Yarrowia lipolytica: one gene and its partners. The protein of the gene in region 1 binds, or shares a complex with, the protein of each later gene. Links are inferred from orthologs where the notes say so. Each region holds a gene or a part of one and is shown on either strand. Other genes may lie near its edges.

Region 1 (2,599 bases):
TATTCTAATACACCTTTCTTGAGAGTGACGGCAGTGACCATACCTTCGGTATGGCCACCCCGGCTGAGTCATCAGTCTGCTTAGTCACAGTGCCTGGGTTCTAACAAATTTAAGATTTGACTTCGTGGCCAAGTTGGTTAAGGCGTACGACTGTTAGTCACCTGAATGGCCGCCATCGTAAGATCGAGAGTTCGACCCTCTCCGAGGTCGTCAAATCATTTTTTGTTTCTCTGGGTTGAAACGAAGTTTTGTTTTTTTTGGAATTGGTAACAATAAGGCTGTCTGATGCTTTCAGGTTGTTTTTATTGTCACTTTGACATCATGTGGCTTATGACAGCTGTTTTAAGAATCCAAACACAACTGGTTCACTTAGTATGTTACTCCGTAAAGCTATCTCGTGCACTATTGAAGCGGCCTCTCAGATGATACTTGAAGCCATAAACTACGCGTGAGCTACTCATTCCATCTACATGTCTGTCATTCAACCGTACTATTCATATATACACTATTTACATTACTCCTTCTGGAGCTGTTGGGTCTGGTCAGCCTCCTTTTCCTGAGCCACCTCCTCGGCATCAAACTCCTTGAGCATCTCCTGCACTCGGGCCTCTACGGCCTCGTTGGAGACCTCATCCACCTCCATGGCGTCCAGCTGGTCCAGAGACTCGGGCAGACCTTCGTGGGTGAACAGCTTGGCCTTCATACCGACACCAGCCAGCTTGTTTTGCGAGAGGAACTGCACCAACACCTGAATGGTATCCTGGGATGCGTTGTTGAGAATGAGCTTTCGGCCGTGGGTTCGTCGCTCGAAGTTTTCCTTGGACTTTGCATGCACGAAAACTGCTCGGTTCACAGTCCATCGCTTGAATCGGGTCTTTTGGGGCACAGGTCCCTCAACGGGGATTCGCAGGTAGTAGGCCGCTCGCTGGGCAAACTCGGTGAAGACCTCTAGGTCCTCGTGAAAGTATGCGTTGAAGAGGAGCTCGGCACACTTGACCTTAGGGGTGCCCTCGGGAATCTTGACCTTGAGAGGTCCGTAGTAGTTGGCGAGAGCAGAAATTGGCAGAGGTCTCTCAGAGTTGGCCTCGTAGATCTTGTGCTCGGTCTGGGTGTAGGTGCCCTGCTTGGGGACCAGCAGATCATCAGACAGCTGCTGTCGAAGGGCCTGGGCCTTGGGGGTCAACTGGGACTCCACTGAGGCCTGGGACATCTTGCCTAGCTCATTTTGTCGGAAAGTGGAGTTGAATCGCACAAGCGCCGTTCGCGGCAGTGTTCGTGGGGCCAGGGTCCGAAGAGGAATCATCGTGTGCTGTGTCGGTGTGGTTTGATGCGAAATTTCACCACACCTGAGTGTCGGTTAAGTTTTTCAGGGTTAGGTCTGGTTGGGACAATTATGTAATGGGGGATGGGATGGGAGAGAGAGTAGGCGGGAGGCGGTACAATAGGCAAAGGGTGTTCTATTTATTGTGCAGTAATTGTCTGTCTATTGGTATTGGTAGTACATGTGATATTGTGGTGTTTAATCCGTGGATCTGGTTTTTCATTCGTTGGGTTTTGGAAGAGTCAGTGTCCGAGATGTGGAATGTCGTCAACGAAACTTGATGGCGCTAAGTAATAAGATATGCTAGTTGATGATTAGTTAAAGGACCGGGCGACTGGCTGATTCATAAATTTATTGCCCACGGCGGCTATATTAACACAAACTGCTACAGTAGATGGCAGGGCAAAGGTTTGCATTATATTCCAACGCCGATGGATGCAACACAATCCTAACTAACAGAAGATGTGTCGAGTGGCGATGTGGGCATAGATGTGAGTGGCGTATACCCTGAAGCCAAACACGTGTTTAGAAGACAAGTGTGAGGAGGAGGAAATACGGGCGGTCTTGATTGTTTAATTGGGTAGGTATGCTCTCAAATTATTTCTCACACGTTATACACAAGCTAACATCTTCATTACTTCAGCTACTGTCCGGTAACGGAGAAGTCTCACTGGTTGGTCAGCTTTCAAATGATCCAAAACTTTGGTTCACCCTCCTACTCGTAGTACACTTGCTTGAACTTTTATGGTAATATATACAGTACAATAAATCAGAGTTGAGGTCTGTGTTGATATATGCTACCAAAAATGGCATGGTGTGCAAATTATACATTGTAAAGGTCATAATCCGACGTTTTTCCACTTTGTATGACTAGCCCCTGTCACTTTTAACCACCTCTCACCATAGCCTCCACTGCGCCTGCCCGACATGCCATCGCCCAAAGTCTAACTCCACATCGCAGTGCATAAACACGCTGATAGTGATCCACACCTATCCACACCCCCAACATGTCCGAGTACCGACGCCAGGCGCACTCGAAATACAAAATGCCCGGGGGTCTGCTGCCTCCGGTGAACCTCGGCGAGGGTTCTGGGCCTACGCACGCCAATTCGGGCTTGCGCACAGACTCCAAAATGGCTTCATTTGTTGCAGTGCCTGACCGAAAGGCCACCTCCTCGCCCTTCAGACACTCGGGGCAGTTCAGCAACTCATTCACCTCGCTTGCTAGCCTCAAAGATCTTAGCGACCGAGATCTCCCGGTCAAAGCCAGCCCTCGCA
Region 2 (1,872 bases), about 1.7 Mb from region 1:
TCGACTGGTTCTATAGTTCCTATACATTGGTAGCCCTGCAGCATCGTAGTGCAACTGAAAACCTTTGACTTATCACAGGGACCTGGACACTGGAACCTCGTGCTGGAACTGAGCAGATGGTACTTCGGCGCATTAGAGTGGTCTAGAGTGGTCTACAGAAGCATACGAAGAAGCGTCAACAGTCTACAGCGAATCGAATTACATGCACCGTCTCAACAGTATCGCCATAATGGGTGGTCGCAAAGTGTCTACAGTCTGGAGATATGAGATGGACCTTTATGATACATTGTACTAATCGAGAGAGTTCTTCTACAACTTCTGGTTACTCTGGTTAACTCAAGTAATTGCAGAACTACAATACCCAGAGGCGTCAACATATCAAACAGACCATTGGAAACCCTACACCTCCATCACCTCTCCCTACACATCCCACCTCCGATCTTCAACCATTACCAATTCCGTCTCGCTCCCAGTATCGTAAATCACAGAGAATTCATAAATATGTACATGCTGGCGATGGATGACATCGCTTATCGTCGGTTCTTTCCCTGGGGAACCATCTTGGGGTAAAGTCGCTTGGCGTGGAAGTTGATACTGTCCTGCTGCTTGACGGGTTTAACCTGAGTTAGAATTGCAAAACGAAATTAAACCGACCCTGTCGCCTCAATCATCTCCAACCCTTCTCCTCTCATACTCACACTCTTGCAGGCAGCCATCTTGAACTCCTGTTCAATCTCCTTGCAGGCCTCGGAGTTGACACCGTTGGATGACCAGCACGCCAAAAGTCGAGACAGAAGCTGCACGGCCTGGGGGGCCTCGGCGGTCTGCAGGTTCTTGACACGCAGATACTTGAGCTTGGGCAACTTCTGGGCGGTCATTTTTCGAGACTTTGTGTATGGTGATGTTGCAGTGAAATTTTACTGCATGTTGGAGATGCTGGTGGTTAGGGTTATTAGTCAGCAAAAAATGGAAGGAATCTGGAAATATACGATACGGCGGATAAACGGGGTCTATGGAGCATTGTCAGTTACGGCTATAGCTAGATTACCGACGTTTTTTTTTCTTCGGTTTCCCCCCCCCCCACCTCATTTCGCCACGTGACCATAAATCAAATAAGGTTTTATTATAGCGGTCCGGGTAACTTCCTATTTGAGAAGTCCCACTCAACTTGCATGGAAATAAATTTACACGGCAGCTCTTCCTTTTCTTCTTCTTCAGACACTTCGGCTAGAAAGACGGTGAGTAATAACGACACACCACACGGTGGCGAACGCAGCGAACGCAGTGGAGCGATGCAAAAGCTGAAGAGCAGGACCTCAAGGAGCAACCACTAACAACAGCACAGTTTTCTTTGCAGACGACACCGAAATGCAGATTTTTGTCAAGACCCTTACCGGTAAGACTATCACCCTCGAGGTGGAGTCTTCCGACACCATCGACAACGTCAAGTCCAAGATCCAGGACAAGGAGGGAATTCCCCCGGACCAGCAGCGACTTATCTTCGCCGGTAAGCAGCTCGAGGACGGCCGAACCCTTTCTGACTACAACATCCAGAAGGAGTCCACTCTCCATCTCGTCCTGCGACTTCGAGGTGGTGGTAAGAAGCGAAAGAAGAAGGTCTACACCACCCCCAAGAAGATCAAGCACAAGCGAAAGAAGAACAAGCTTGCTGTCCTCAACCTCTACAAGGTTGACGATGACGGAAAGGTTGAGCGACTTCGACGAGAGTGTGAGTCTGAGTCCTGCGGTGCCGGTGTCTTCATGGCTGACATGAAGGACCGACAGTACTGCGGCCGATGCCACCTCACCCTCAAGGCCTAAATGTATTGATTTAGTTTAGTATATTTATCTCTTGAACAAAAATCAACGCTG
Region 3 (2,523 bases), on another chromosome or scaffold:
TTCTGGCGACGTGTCTGATCAAGAGATCGTGGACCTGGTAACCATTACCGCCAACAGTAGCGGTTCTGGACGAGGATCGCCACAGCAGGCTGCCCAGGAGGTGGTTGAGTACGCAGCGGCTTTGGGTGGCTCGGACAATGCCACTTGCATGGTTATCCGTCTAAGAGGATGGGGCAATGGCTCGCAGGTGGACCGAACCGGCGAGCTACGAGAATACCGACTCAAAAATGTCGACTCCCGTGGAAATCGAATGTAGGCATGTATATTTATAAACAGTAACTTTGGCAATGTGACTTGAAGAATGTAGCACGAGTATTCAGTGGATGTGTAGTGTACATACTACCCCCACCGATAAGTTCCACTAATGTTTTACGGTATCAACTAAAAATCTAACTAAAAGTTCAATTACTCTTAGAGCCAAGATGCGAGATTTATTATCCTGGCTCAAAATTCCCATCTTACGTATTGGGTGGAAAAAGTCGCTGTATCTATGGATAGATACAAAGACTTTAGCGTATCACCATGTGAATAGCTACTTGTAGGTGAAGTCAGGTGGCTCTTCAGGCACTGTAAAGCTACAGTACAGTATGTACAGCTTCTGAGGCATGAATCTTGGCTATATACAAATTAGTTCTTGGTCTGTCGGTATCGGAAGGGCTTTCGAGTGTAAGCGTACTCGCCAAGCTTGGTTCCGACCATATCCTGGGTGACGTTGACAGGAACGTACTCCTTACCGTTGTGGACGTGGAAGGTCACACCAACAAACTGGGGGATGATGGTTGCGGCTCGCTTATCGGTCTGGATAGGCTGCTTCTTTGTAGCCCATGGCTTCAGGTCGATAGGGACAATGTGAGGGCCTGTGTTAGCTTTGGAGGATGTGTGTCATGTCTTGATTTGGCGATGTGTTGATCTGGTCAATGGAGAACAACTAGCAGATTCTGTGCGTAGTCGCGAGAGCTGAGAGGTGTTCTGACGACGAATCGAGAGGCAACAACCTGACTGGCCCGTGTTATCACCCGGTCCAACCAATCAATTTCCGGTTTGACAATCGCCAATACCTTTGTGCCTGTGGTGTCACTCGTATTGCAACGAAGTACAGGCGAATCACGCGAGTATGGTGAAAACGAGTGGCAAAAATCTTCTTCCCTGCACTCGGTTCACCAAATGAAATACTCACATTTCCAGGCGGAACGACAAAGAACCCGTGTTGGCAGCATTTTCGGAGTGGTCTGAAGTGCAAAAAGGGTGATGTAAAAACGCTTACTACACCTAAACTCTATTTGATACTCGTGCATGAAAATCTTAGGCCTACATACAAATAAATTTATTTCGAGCCTGCAGCACACCACGAAACACACATCACCATGTTCACTGGAGTTCGTCGATTTGACCCTACCCAGGGCGGACAGGCGTCGCCTGTACCATTCAAGAAGGTCAAACACGAGGAGGAGGAAAGCAAGCCTGAAACCAATGCTGACGAGCACTCTGAGGTGGAATATGAGGAGGAGTCTGGGGACGACTCCATGGATGAGGCTGAGGAGGCCAAGAAGCCCGTGGAGGTCAAGGACGAGGAGGAGAGCGAAGATGAGAACCTTACAGCCGACCAGAAGCGAAAGAAGAAGCAGGAAGCCGCCAACCTGGCCAAGCGAGCGGAGGAAAAGGCTCTAGAGCGAAAGCGAAAGCGAGAACAGCATATGGGCGAGGAGGACTCTGATAGTGAAGATGATCTGGCGCCTATCAAGATTTCTGGCAACAACAAAATCAAGCTTGCTAAGGGAACCATTCGAGCTAAGGGCTTCGAGGAGCTTCCCCAGACTGAAATCTATGAGGATAAACCCGATGAGAGTGCAACCATCTCTCGAAAGACCCAACTTCAGACACAGCCCATTTTGCGAAATGCTACTTATGTGGAAATTGACGATGTTGGATCATTTGATGAGTTTGATCTGAGCAAAAATATGATGAAGAACCTGGACACTTTAGGATACACAAAGGCATTTTCTGTGCAGAAGGCAGTCATTCCTTGGCTTCTGGCCCAGCAAAAGCTCCTTGCCCCCGATCGAAAGCCCGATCTTCTTGTTTCTGCATCCACCGGTTCCGGTAAGACCGCCACTTACGGAATCCCCATTATCGAGAAGCTCCGAGACCGTATTGTTCCTCGAATCAGAGCTGTGGTTGTACTCCCTACAAAGCCCCTGGTCATGCAAGTCCGAGACGTGCTTGAAAACCTATCCAAGGGATCTTCTTTGTCTGTTGTGGCTCTTCGAAACGACCGAAGCACCAAACGTGAACGGGCTGTTCTGGAGACTGCCGATATCGTTGTGGCAGCCCCTGGTCGACTTGTGGAGCAAGTGAAGGAGAACCCCGAGCTCTTCTCTTACATCGAATTTCTGGTGGTTGACGAGGCCGATCGTCTGCTTGGCCAGGACTACTACGACTGGGCCTCTGTGTTGCAGAACAACCAGCAGCGGGCCCAGGCTGGTAAGACCAACCTCACTGAGCACTACGTTCGAAACATGCAAA

The links.
Region 2: YALI1_F30106g (region 1) and YALI1_F13366g share a complex: the UniProt entries of both Saccharomyces cerevisiae proteins name them as parts of the mitochondrial small ribosomal subunit. The link is inferred for Yarrowia lipolytica from reciprocal best matches to the Saccharomyces cerevisiae genes RSM10 and MRP10.
Region 3: YALI1_F30106g (region 1) and YALI1_B29507g share a complex: the UniProt entries of both Saccharomyces cerevisiae proteins name them as parts of the mitochondrial small ribosomal subunit. The link is inferred for Yarrowia lipolytica from reciprocal best matches to the Saccharomyces cerevisiae genes RSM10 and RSM19.

Annotation. Positions count from the first base shown.
Region 1 is NC_090775.1:3,009,317-3,011,915, forward strand, and holds YALI1_F30106g (mitochondrial 37S ribosomal protein uS10m), read right to left. Parts: upstream 1,304-2,599; coding exon 515-1,303; downstream 1-514. Other genes in the region: YALI1_F30116g (uncharacterized protein), read left to right, coding at 2,329-2,599. UniProt on the Saccharomyces cerevisiae protein: Component of the mitochondrial ribosome (mitoribosome), a dedicated translation machinery responsible for the synthesis of mitochondrial genome-encoded proteins, including at least some of the essential transmembrane subunits of the mitochondrial respiratory chain.
Region 2 is NC_090775.1:1,335,986-1,337,857, forward strand, and holds YALI1_F13366g (mitochondrial 37S ribosomal protein mS37), read right to left. Parts: upstream 879-1,872; coding exon 699-878; intron 621-698; coding exon 531-620; downstream 1-530. Other genes in the region: YALI1_F13373g (ubiquitin-40S ribosomal protein S31 fusion protein), read left to right, coding at 1,369-1,821. UniProt on the Saccharomyces cerevisiae protein: Component of the mitochondrial ribosome (mitoribosome), a dedicated translation machinery responsible for the synthesis of mitochondrial genome-encoded proteins, including at least some of the essential transmembrane subunits of the mitochondrial respiratory chain.
Region 3 is NC_090771.1:2,949,395-2,951,917, reverse strand, and holds YALI1_B29507g (mitochondrial 37S ribosomal protein uS19m), read right to left. Parts: upstream 1,218-2,523; coding exon 1,178-1,217; intron 858-1,177; coding exon 628-857; downstream 1-627. Other genes in the region: YALI1_B29528g (uncharacterized protein), read left to right, coding at 1-256; YALI1_B29505g (uncharacterized protein), read left to right, coding at 1,365-2,523. UniProt on the Saccharomyces cerevisiae protein: Component of the mitochondrial ribosome (mitoribosome), a dedicated translation machinery responsible for the synthesis of mitochondrial genome-encoded proteins, including at least some of the essential transmembrane subunits of the mitochondrial respiratory chain.